Linked DNA regions of Oryctolagus cuniculus. Each later gene encodes a partner of the first gene's protein in a complex. Links are inferred from orthologs where the notes say so. Each region holds a gene or a part of one and is shown on either strand. Other genes may lie near its edges. The genes, in order: ARHGEF7 and SHANK1.

Region 1 (6,199 bases):
GGCCTCTTGGTCTGCAGCACCATCCTTGTCTGCAAGCTCAGAATTGCTCATGCTGTGCCACATCTGACACGCGTGCCAGCCCCGACTAGCCGAGAGGGGCTTCGCGTGTTCTTGACCTGAGCAGTGGGACTGCACATCTCTGGCTTTCAGCCTCACCACAGCGCTGTCTACTGTGCTTTAACTGTCAGCGTCTCATAAAGCCACGAATTCCGTCGTTTTCCCACCTTCTCCGTAGCTTCATCACGCACTGCAGATGGGACCGCAGCACCGTCTGGAGCGGCCTCCCGTACAGGTTGATGGATCTGCTCCTCTTTCTGGATGTATCTATGGCTGACTCGTTCAGTGGAACTCCAGGCCAACAGCACTGATCTAACACACGTGTTTCCTGTGAGGCACATCACAACTTCCTTGTTTGGGGCCTCTAGACAGCACTTCAGCACTACGCTCGGGGGCCATGACACAGCAGGTCATCAACAGAAGGTCCAGACGTGAAGAACAAGGCACTAGATAGGCCGAGGAGAGGACAGGTGTTCACAGAGGCAGAACGAGGAAACAGCATGGCCTTGCCCCGGCCAGCTGGCCACGTGCACGTGAGCAGCCAGGGGAGGTCACAGCCAGTGTGGATGGTGACGGCCTTTGTTGGGTCCCTTGCAAAATGACATCAAGCACGAGAACAGATTACATTAGGATGTGGTTCTGTGGGGGAAGTGCAATGAAAAGGAGTTAGAGACTGACTTTTACAGAAGAGCTTGTTTATAGAATTTTTAGTTGCAGGCTATTACCTGTATTTTAATTCCATTGGGTGTATTTAAAAAAAAGATGTAATTTTTATTTTAAAGTGTCATTATGAGAATGTCAGAAATTAACTTTGCAACCGCAAAACCACGGTGAAGGAGTTCGGGTTTGAGCTACGCGTATGGCACACAACTTCTGAGAGGAGCAAAACGGGCCAGGAGCAGCTCATCCCCTGACCAGACACCGGCTGTTTGCAGGAGACCCGCGGCACTGTGTCCTGACGACTGTTCCACTGGGGGGCGGGGGGGGGGGGCTCCAATCCGAGACAGCCCGGCGTCCCGAACACCGGGCTTCGGTATGGGATTCTCCGCGACCCGCGCGGCTGGAGAGGGACCCGCAGTGTTCCCGAGAGGCCTGGCGCAATCTCGGCTCCCGGTGCCACAGCCCGGGAACTTTCTTCGTGGCCGGGCACGCGGCCCGCAGCCCCGATCTCTCGGGCTTCTCCTCGGGTGGGCCCCGCTTCCTCGGCTCACGCGTGCAGCCCCGCACGCACGCTCGGGCCGCAGCCGGCTGTCTGACCGTTCGGGGGGCACAGGGCCGGTGCCGGGGAAGACGACGACCACCCGCTTCGGTCCCGGCGTGCGGAGCTCACGGGGCTTGTCCCGCAGAGCCTCGGCGTTCGGAGGACCCCCACACTCGCCCTCGGCGCCGCGGGTCCGGGCCCAGCCCTTCGGGCGATGCCCAAGTAGCCCAGGCCCAGCTCTCAGGGTCCCCCCAGGCCGGGCGGTGTCCGCTTCGGTGAGGCCCAGGTCCAGGCTCGGGGCGGAGGCGGTGGCCGCACGTGCGGGGCTGTCTGCGGGGCCCACGACCACCCGCCGAGAGGAGGCGGCTGCTTGCTCCGGGCGGCCTGTGTCCGCTGTGTATGGCTGGGGTCCGGCTCCAGGTGGCCGGCGTCCACGGGGCGAGGCTGGGGTCTGGGGTCCGGGGTTCGGGCGGCCTGCGTCCGAGGGGCGAGGCTGGGGTCTGGGGTCCGGGGTCCGGGTGGCCTGCGTCCGAGGGGCGAGGCTGGGGTCTGGGGTCCGGGGTTCAGGCGGCCTGCGTCCGAGGGGCGAGGCTGGGGTCCGGGTCCGGGGTCCGGGTGGCCTGCGTCTGAGGGGCGAGGCTGGGGTCCGGAGTCCGGGTGGCCTGCGTCCGCGGGGCGAGGCCGGGGTCCGGCTCCAGGTGGCCGGTGTCCGAGGAGCGAGGTTGGGGTCCGGGTCCGGGGTCCGGGCGGCCTGCGTCTGCGGGGCGAGGCTGGGGTCCGGCTCCGGGGTTCGGGCGGCCTGCGTCCGCGGGGCAAGGCTGGGGTCCGGGTCCGGGAGGCCTGCGTCCGCGGGGCGAGGCCGGGGTCCGGCTCCGGGAGGCCCGCGTCCGAGGGGCGAGGCCGGGGTCCGGGGTCCGGCTCCGGGTGGTCTGCGTCCGAGGGGCGAGGCTGGGGTCCGGGGTCCGGCTCCGGGTGGCCTGCGTCCGCGGAGCGAGGCCGGGGTCCGGCTCCGGGAGGCCTGCGTCCGCGGGCCGAGGCCGGGGCCCGGGTCCGGGTGGCCGGCGTCCGAGGGGCGAGGCCGGGGCCCGGGTCCGGGTGGCCGGCGTCCGCGGTGCTTGGCTGGGGTCCGAGGCCGGGGCCCGGGTCCGGGGGCCGCGACCGGGGCCCGCGCGGCGCTGACCCGCGCCGGCCGGAAGAGGCCGCGCGCGCGGGCTGGCGGGGGCGCGGCCTGAGCGCGTCACTTCCGGCCCCGCCCCGTCTTCCTGGTGCGGGCAGGGGCCGAGATTGGTGCAGCGGAGGAAGCGGAGAGGTGCGGGCGGCGGCGGCGGGGCCTGGCGGGGCACGGGCCCGCGGCCGCGCGGCCTCAGCGCTGTGTCTGTGTTGCAGGTCTTCCCGGAGCCGCGGAGCGAGAGCGAGTGCCTGAGCAACATCCGCGAGTTCCTGCGCGGCTGCGGGGCCTCCCTGCGCCTGGAGGTGAGCGGGCGGGCGGCGCGTGGGCGTGGGCGGCGGCGGGGCGCGGGCCCCGCCGTGCGGGAGCGGCTTGCTGCCCGCCGCGGGCCCGCCCGGCCGTGCGGGAGGCGGCTGCCGGGGCTCCGCGCGGCAGCGGCGTGCGGGGCTGGCTGGGTGCGCGGGGGTCTCGTGGCCCGCGGCGCCCCCGCGCCCTCACGCCGGGCGTCTGCGGGTTGGCGCGGCGCGAGTCGGAAGGCTTCTCGGAGGGGCCCCGGTGGGCGGGAGCGCTGGCGGCCGCCGTGGGTTTCTGGGGGGACGCGGGGCCCGGGCGGGGCTGTTGCGTGAGCGGGCGGGGCCGGAGGCGTGGGCAGCGTCCCGGCGCGAGTTCCCGGTAGCTGCCGTGCCGGGCGCAGCTGTCAGCCCCCTGGATCCGTGCGGGGCTCGCGTTGCCGCGGTCCCCAGCCGGCGTCTGCAGGTTGGTTATTTCTACGGCGCTGGTTCACTCCCCAGGTGGCCGCCAGGGCCAGCGCTGGGCGGAGCCAGGAGCTTCCTCCGGGTCTCCCACGCGGGTGCAGGGCCCAAGCACCTGGGCCATCCTCTATTGCCTTCCCGGGCCACAGCAGAGGGCTGGACTGGAAGAGGAGCAACCGGGACTCGAACCCGCGCCCGTGGCGGCTTTGGCGCCCTGCCGCAGCGTCAGTGTGCGCTAGAGCCCCCTGCTCCGCTCTCCCCGGGTTACCGGGGGCTTCCTGCGGGCTGCTCTGTGGTTCCAGTGCACTTGGAGACCCCTGGAAGGGAGCCTGGCACGCAGTGGGCCTGCGAGAAATGTTTGCGACCCACGGGCGAGCTTGAACTTGTGGTCGTGGAAGGTTCCCTCTAAAGAGAAAAGTCGGTCATGACCGACCTTGTGCCGTTTTCAAAGTTTCTGTCTCAGTAAATTCAAACTGCAGTAGCCGCAAGCGTTGGTCTTTCAGGCTTCGTGTGAATCGCACTGAAAACTCGTGCTTACCTAAGAGGCAATGAAAATTGAAAAAGACAGGGAAACAGTACTTCAGAATCTCGGGCTGTCACTTTTTGGAAGTGACCTGGAGAGAGGGAATTCTGTGTGGGGGAGGGGAGGCTGCTGCTCCTCCCTGTGTCCTTGGGAGCTGGGGTGTGAGGACCAGGCCACGCCCGGGAGAAGCTGTCCCCACTGTCAGGGCCAGGCCACGCCCAGGAGAACCTGTCCCCCACTGTGAGGGCCAGGCCACGCCCAGGAGAAGCTGTCCCCCACTGTGAGGGCCAGGCCACGCCTGGGAGAAGCTGTCCCCCACTGTCAGGGCCAGACTACGCCTGGGGGAACCTGTCCCCCACTGTGAGGGCCAGGCCATGCCTGGGAGAAGCTGTCCCCCACTGTGAGGGCCAGGCTACTGCCCCGGGGAACCTGTCCCCCACTGTGAGGGCCAGGCCACGCCCAGGAGAACCTGTCCCCCACTGTGAGGGCCAGGCCACGCCTGGGAGAAGCTGTCCCCCACTGTGAGGGCCAGACCACGCCCGGGGGAACCTGTCCCCCACTGTGAGGGCCAGGCCACGCCTGGGAGAAGCTGTCCCCCACTGTGAGGGCCAGGCCACTGCCCGGGGGAACCTGTCCCCCACTGTGAGGGCCAGGCCACGCCTGGGAGAAGCTGTCCCCCACTGTGAGGGCCAGACCACGCCCGGGGGAACCTGTCCCCCACTGTGAGGGCCAGGCCACGCCTGGGGGAACCTGTCCCCCACTGTGAGGGCCAGGCCACGCCTGGGAGAACCTGTCCCCACTGTGAGGGCCAGACCACTGCCCCGGGGAACCTGGTCCCCCACTGTGAGGGCCAGGCCATGCCTGGGAGAAGCTGTCCCCCACTGTGAGGACCAGGCCACTGCCTGGGGGAACCTGTCCCCCACTGTGAGGGCCAGGCCACTGCCCAGGGGAACCTGGTCCCCCACGAGGGTGCAGGAAGCAGTGTAGACCTGGGACTTGGGAGGTTGTTCTAGGATTTTCCATTTCACTTGCACAAAATTCTGAGAGGGGAGATGGGAGACGTTTGGGAATTACAGACGTGAAAGCTAAAACAGCTTCGATTCGGCATTTGTTTCTGTCCTGTCGTCATAAATGTCACGGTGCTCGTGTCCAGGGCTACCTTAGACTGTTGTGTTTGTAGCAAACCGTTTTTGTTACATGTATTTTCATGTTTATGCTGGTTTCAGTTTTCTGGATATTAGGAATAGAGGACCTGGACTTCATGGTCACTGTATTAGCTGTTCTTTTTTAGAACTTGTGTTTGTTTGAAAGGCAGGGAGATAGGTAGAGATTTGCCATCTGCTGGTTCGTTCCCCAAATGCCCAGAACACCGGGGTCTGGGTCAGACTAGCCAGGAGCTGGGACTCACCCGGGCTCTCCCAGGTGGGTGGTGGGGACGCAGGTGATGCCTGAGCTGCCTCCTGGAGTGAGTGTCGGGAGCCAGGACTCAGCCAGGCGCTCTGGTGGGGGACGTCGGCGTCCTGAGGGGTGACTTGACCGCTGCCTCTGTTAGCTGTTTTAATTCGTATGTACCTGGTTCGCTGTGGACATCAGGTGTTGTCCCCAGATGAGCTCTGACTAGAAAAGGTCTTTGCCTCTGTTTTGTAGCCTGAGCACTGTGCTGTAGCTGTTAGACACTGGGCAGTTGTGTGCCTCTGACCTGTGACCCCTTTGTCTTCCTGCAGTGTTTTCTTCTACTCTGCACGTGCCCTTTGCGAGTCTTTTTTTGTCTGGTTAGGACAGAATGGCCACAGTAAGGACACGGATCCCGATAGGTTGAGTTTCACTGAAGGAGAAATGGCAGGCGGTCGGCAGATGAGGCCGCCGCAGAGAGACCAGGGGGAGTTCTCCTGGCTGGTTCCTGCGTGCCGCGGCGTGGCTGTGTGCCTGCGTTCACACGGTCACAGACCTTCAGCCTGCGCGGGTTCTCGTCCGAACACCACGGACGCAGGTGAGCTGTCGGCAGAGGAAGTGCTGGGCTCCCAGGAGCGGGCTGTGTGGCTAGAGCCCCCACACCTGTCCTGTTTGCCCGCCAGGGTGCCAGCTTCATTCATTTTGCCCCAGATTGATAGCATGTCGTGTGGTGGGTGTTAGCAACAAAATTGTTGACTTAGCTCTGTTGAAAAGAAAAAAAGCCTGCTGCTGTCAGTATTTAGTTTTATTCCCAGTATTTAGTAACACGTAATACTCAGTTCTGAACCAGACTGTGAAAGGTGGACAGAAGAGATGGGCTTCCACCTTGTAAGCTCAGGTACTTCAGTTTGTCGACTTCCCATGCTGGCGCCTAGTCCAGTGTGTACTTAGAAGGGGGAGCCAGCCTCGTGCGTGTCTCCCAGATGTCTCAGTGTCCTGGTGCAGTCCTCCACCCAGAAGGAATCAGCCGTTCTCCAGGGGGACGGGGTTCTCGGTGGTGACCTGGCAGGTGATTGTGGCCGATGCGTTCATATTCATGGGGCTCT
Region 2 (4,004 bases), on another chromosome or scaffold:
CACAACGGGGGTGGGGTGTGGGTGTGGGTGGAGGCTTGCCTTCCGGGCATCTCAGGCCCCGTGCCCAGGTGGGAGCGGCCACAGCTCCCCCCCCCCCCCGCAGCGGCTCCCCCTCTGGGACCGTCACCGCCCACTCCGCTGGAGCTGTGGCCCACGCACCCATTCTGAACCACCTTCCCCATTGCCGTCTTCCAGAGGGGAAACCGAGGCACGGAGCGGCTATGGAACTGGTGCAGGGCCGCCTGGCTCCAAAGAGATGGTGCTGAGGACCGGGGACAGGAACGCTGGCCCCAAAGTCCTCTGTGCGCACTGTTGGGCACCCCTGGCCACAGGGGATATGCACGTGTACTTGTGGCTGACGGTGTGCCCACAGCTCACCTGTGCCCGAGACACACCCCCGAGACAGGGCAGGTCCCCCGGGCAGTGGAGACCCAGGCTGCCACCTCCAGGGCCACGAGCTGGGCACAGGCTCCCGCAGGGCGCAGGTCTGGGTTCCCCTGCAGCTGCAGGCTCTCTGGGGCACCTCAGTGCCTGCCTGGGCTAGGAAGGCCCCATCTCGACGCACCCAGCAAGCCAGGTGGTGAGCAGCTGGGCTCCGGGCGGGAACAGCTGCCTGCATCGGCAGCGGCACAGCGGCAAGAGGTTCTGCACCCCCGGCTCCTGGCCAGGCTCTGCTCCAGGCGAGGCATCTCTCCAGGGCTGGCCCCTCGGTGGGGGGCCCACGGGCCCGCCCCGCAGCGCCTGCACCGCCCAAGGTCACACTGCCCTCCTGCGTCCAGGCTTTCTTGGAAAACGGAATGCTGGGTGCTTTGGGCTCCCGCGCCACTCCTGGGGCAGCCCCCAAGCCTCGGCTACCTGCCACCATGCTGGTGAGCTGTGGTGGGCTGTGTGGTCCCCTTCTTTGGAGAGCGGGCCCCTTGACCCCCGCCTAACGAGCCCCGGGCCCGTCGGACAGCCAGGGTGAGGCTGTGAGGCATGAGCCTGGCACTACAGTGCCACGGCCTCCTCCCCCTACCTGTACCACCTCTGTCCCTGCTGCAGCCAGCACCTAAGCCCAGGGGCCTTTGACCAAGCTGTTACCCTGCCACACAGCACCTACTGTGTGCCAACCAGGCCTTGATCTAGGCCTAGGGATACAGCCGTGCATAAGAGTTCCTGCCTGGGCCAGGGCCGTGGTGTAGTAGGGTAAACCTCGGCCTGCGGCGCCGGCATCCCGTATGGACACCAGTTCAAGTCCCCGCTGCTCCTCTTCCGATCCAGCTCCCTGCTACTGCTTGGGAAAGGCAGGAGAAGGTGGCCCAAATTCTTGGGCCCCTGCACCCACGTGGGAGACCTGGATGGAGCTCCAGGCTCCTGGCTTGGGCCTGGCCCTGCCCTAGCCATCTGGGGAGTGAACCAGTGGATGGAAGACCTCTCCCTCTCTCTCTAACTTTGCCTTTCAAATAAATTTACGAATCTTGGGGGGAAAAAAATAAAGACTTCCTGTCTTTGCTGGCGGCAGGAAGATGGTAATGGACAAGATGGTGCCAGTCTTGGCGATGGCAAAAATAAAACGGGGCATTTGAATCCGGTACCTCGTCAGGGCCGTGGGTGAAGCTGCAGCCAGTGAGGCCGGCTTCCACACTGCGAGGCACTGGCTGGAGTCCCGGCGGCTCTGCCTCCACCCCAGCTCCCTGCGAAGGTGCCTGGGAGGGCAGATGACACTGGCCAAATGCTTGGCCCCTGCCAGCCCTGTGGGAGAGCCGGACGGAGAGCCCGGCTCCTGGCAGCCCGGCCTTTGTGGCCATTTCGGGAGAGGATGGAACAGTCTCGTTGTCTCTCCTTCCCTCTGTCACTTTTCCTTTCAAATAAAATAAATCTTTAAAAATTAAATATATATATATATATATAGAGAGAGAGAGAGAGAGAGAGACTTGTGGAATGAAATCCTCTTAAACCAGGTGATTGGGGGGAGGGGTGGGGGAGAACTTTCTAGAAGGAATAAAAGGCTGGGGGCCAAGGCTTTGAGGTGGAGAACGGCAGAGAAGCCAGCACAGAGAGCCGGGGTGGGTGGGAGGGGACGAGGGGAGCTGCGTCCTGGCGTGAGGGGGCCCAGCCCCCCCGCCGCCTGGAGCAGTCTGGCTCCCCTCCTGCTTCTGATGGGAAGGTGGGGGCGCCGGGGAGTGGGGGGTGATGGGATCTGATTTATGGTTTGGAAGGATTGCTCCGGCTGCGGCAGGAGGGGCTCAGGCGCGAGGGGGGAGGGCAGGGAGGAGCCTGCTGCAGTGGTCCAGGCTGGGCCCGACGCCTGTCCAGCTCCCGGCGGCTCCCACCCCCACTGCCTCCCAGCCCCTCCCCCTGGCCCACTGCCGGCCCCTCTGCTTGCTCTGAGCGTCTGGGTCCCCAGCACGGCCCAGCCTGCAGAGGCCTCCAGCAAAGTGTGGCCAGCGACCCGCAGAGCCCCACCTTCCTGGGACACCCACACAGCCACACGCGTGCCCGTCACGTGCACCCGCAGAAACGCACACGCACCCGCTCTGGTCGTCGCCGAGGGCTTGGAGGGCAGGGGCCGGCCATCCCCGCAGTCTGAGACCAGTGCAGGAATGCGAGCATCAGGGGGTGTGGGCGCCGGTGGCCACAGGATAATAGCAACCTAGGGAGACCCTGTGGTCTCCCCCCACCCCAGGAATGGCTGGGAAGGGGGAAGGAGAGAGGGCCCAGCCCCTGGGTCCCCCCATTGCCCTGTGGGTGCCCAGGGGTTCCTGGGCCGAGGCTGGTCCTGAGGTCCCTCGGAGAACTGGCCACGGCCCTTCCTGCTCCCAGGCAGAGGGAAAGAGCAGGCGGAAGCGAGCTCTGGAGGGCGTGGGGGGAGACCCGAGGCGGGATCCAGGCTTTGGAACGTTGGAGGTTTCCGGCCACAGAGGCAGGGCCTCGTGGGAGCCAAGAGGGCGGGGAGAGACACACACAGAGGAGCGGAGACCAACAGACAGAGCCGGGAGTCTGGGAGTCGCGGGAGCCGGTCAGGAGACGCTGCAGAGGCGGGGGCCGGGGCACTCGGTGGTCCCCAGAGGCACCCCCACCCCGCTTCCCTGCGCCCTTGGGTGCTGAGAGCCCAGCCCGATGCAGGCGGCCTGGCTCTTTGGGGCCCTGGTGGTCCCCCAGCTCTTGGCCCTTGGCCAGGGGGCTCGGGGAGCTGAGAGGGAGTGGGAAGGAGGCTGGGGTGGGGCCCAGGAGGAGGAGCGACAGAGAGAGGCCCTGATGCTTAAGGTGAAGGTGGGGGGAGACGTAGGGTTGGGAAAAGGGCGGGGAGTGCTGGGGTCCGGGTGAGAGTCTGCAGGGGTGGGGTGGGGGTTCCTAGAAAGGACTCGGCTTCAGAGAGTGAACTGGGGGCTGGAGGGGGGAGGAGGGGGCAGCTGGGGAGGACGGGGTGGCCCTGAGCTCTCCTCCCTGCCCCAGCATTTGCAAGAGGCTCTGGGGTTGCCTGCTACCACGGGGGACGAGGATCCCCCCGGAATCCCTGCAGGCGAAGGGGTCTGGGGGCCTGAAGACGACCAGGTGGAGGACAAGGAAGAGGAGGCAACACTGGCTCCGGACCCCAGCCCCAGCCCCAGCCCCAGCCCCAGCCCCTCGCCCACCCCTGAGGACACGGTCACTTACATCTGTGAGTAACCAGCTCGGTGGCCCACCGCCCAGCCCCCGGCCTTGCCTCCCCAGAACCCAGGCCGCCGGACCTCCACTCTCCCAGGGGTCCCGGTCCCCCGCCCCCCACCCCAGGCCCCTCTCCAGCGGCGCGCCCTGTCCATCCACAGTGGGCCGCCTGGCCGGCCTGGACGCAGGCCTGCACCAGCTGCACGTCCGTCTGCACGCGCTGGACACCCGCGTGGTCGAGCTGACCCAGGGGCTGCGGCAGCTGCGGAAGGCGGCGGGCGACACCGACGAGGCCGTGCACGCCCTGCAGCAGGCGCAGGGTCGCGCCGAGCGCGAGCACGGCCGCCTGGAAGGTGGGTCCGCCCGCTCGTGTCGGG

What was found.
Region 2: the proteins of ARHGEF7 (region 1) and SHANK1 are in contact, whole or in part, in a crystal structure (PDB 3L4F), measured with the Rattus norvegicus proteins. The link is inferred for Oryctolagus cuniculus from reciprocal best matches to the Homo sapiens genes ARHGEF7 and SHANK1. Residues at the interface, in XP_063131056.1 of Rattus norvegicus: Asp735, Ala737, Trp738, Asp739, Glu740, Thr741, Asn742, Leu743; in NP_113939.2 of Rattus norvegicus: Gly673, Phe674, Gly675, Phe676, Val677, Leu678, Arg679, Gly680, Ala681, Lys682, Phe696, Glu703, His735, Arg736, Val739, Ile742.

The regions. Positions count from the first base shown.
Region 1 is NC_091440.1:2,138,867-2,145,065, reverse strand, and holds part of ARHGEF7 (rho guanine nucleotide exchange factor 7), read left to right. Parts: 5' UTR 1-1,092; coding exon 1,093-1,533; intron 1,534-2,468; exon of another isoform or gene 2,469-2,567; intron 2,568-2,608; exon of another isoform or gene 2,609-2,644; coding exon 2,645-2,731; intron 2,732-6,199. UniProt on the Homo sapiens protein: Acts as a RAC1 guanine nucleotide exchange factor (GEF) and can induce membrane ruffling. Functions in cell migration, attachment and cell spreading. Promotes targeting of RAC1 to focal adhesions. May function as a positive regulator of apoptosis.
Region 2 is NC_091449.1:7,268,022-7,272,025, reverse strand, and holds the start of SHANK1 (SH3 and multiple ankyrin repeat domains protein 1), read right to left. Parts: upstream 2,801-4,004; 5' UTR 2,512-2,800; intron 1-2,511. Other genes in the region: CLEC11A (C-type lectin domain family 11 member A), read left to right, coding at 3,100-3,246, 3,436-3,640, 3,789-3,980. UniProt on the Homo sapiens protein: Seems to be an adapter protein in the postsynaptic density (PSD) of excitatory synapses that interconnects receptors of the postsynaptic membrane including NMDA-type and metabotropic glutamate receptors via complexes with GKAP/PSD-95 and Homer, respectively, and the actin-based cytoskeleton.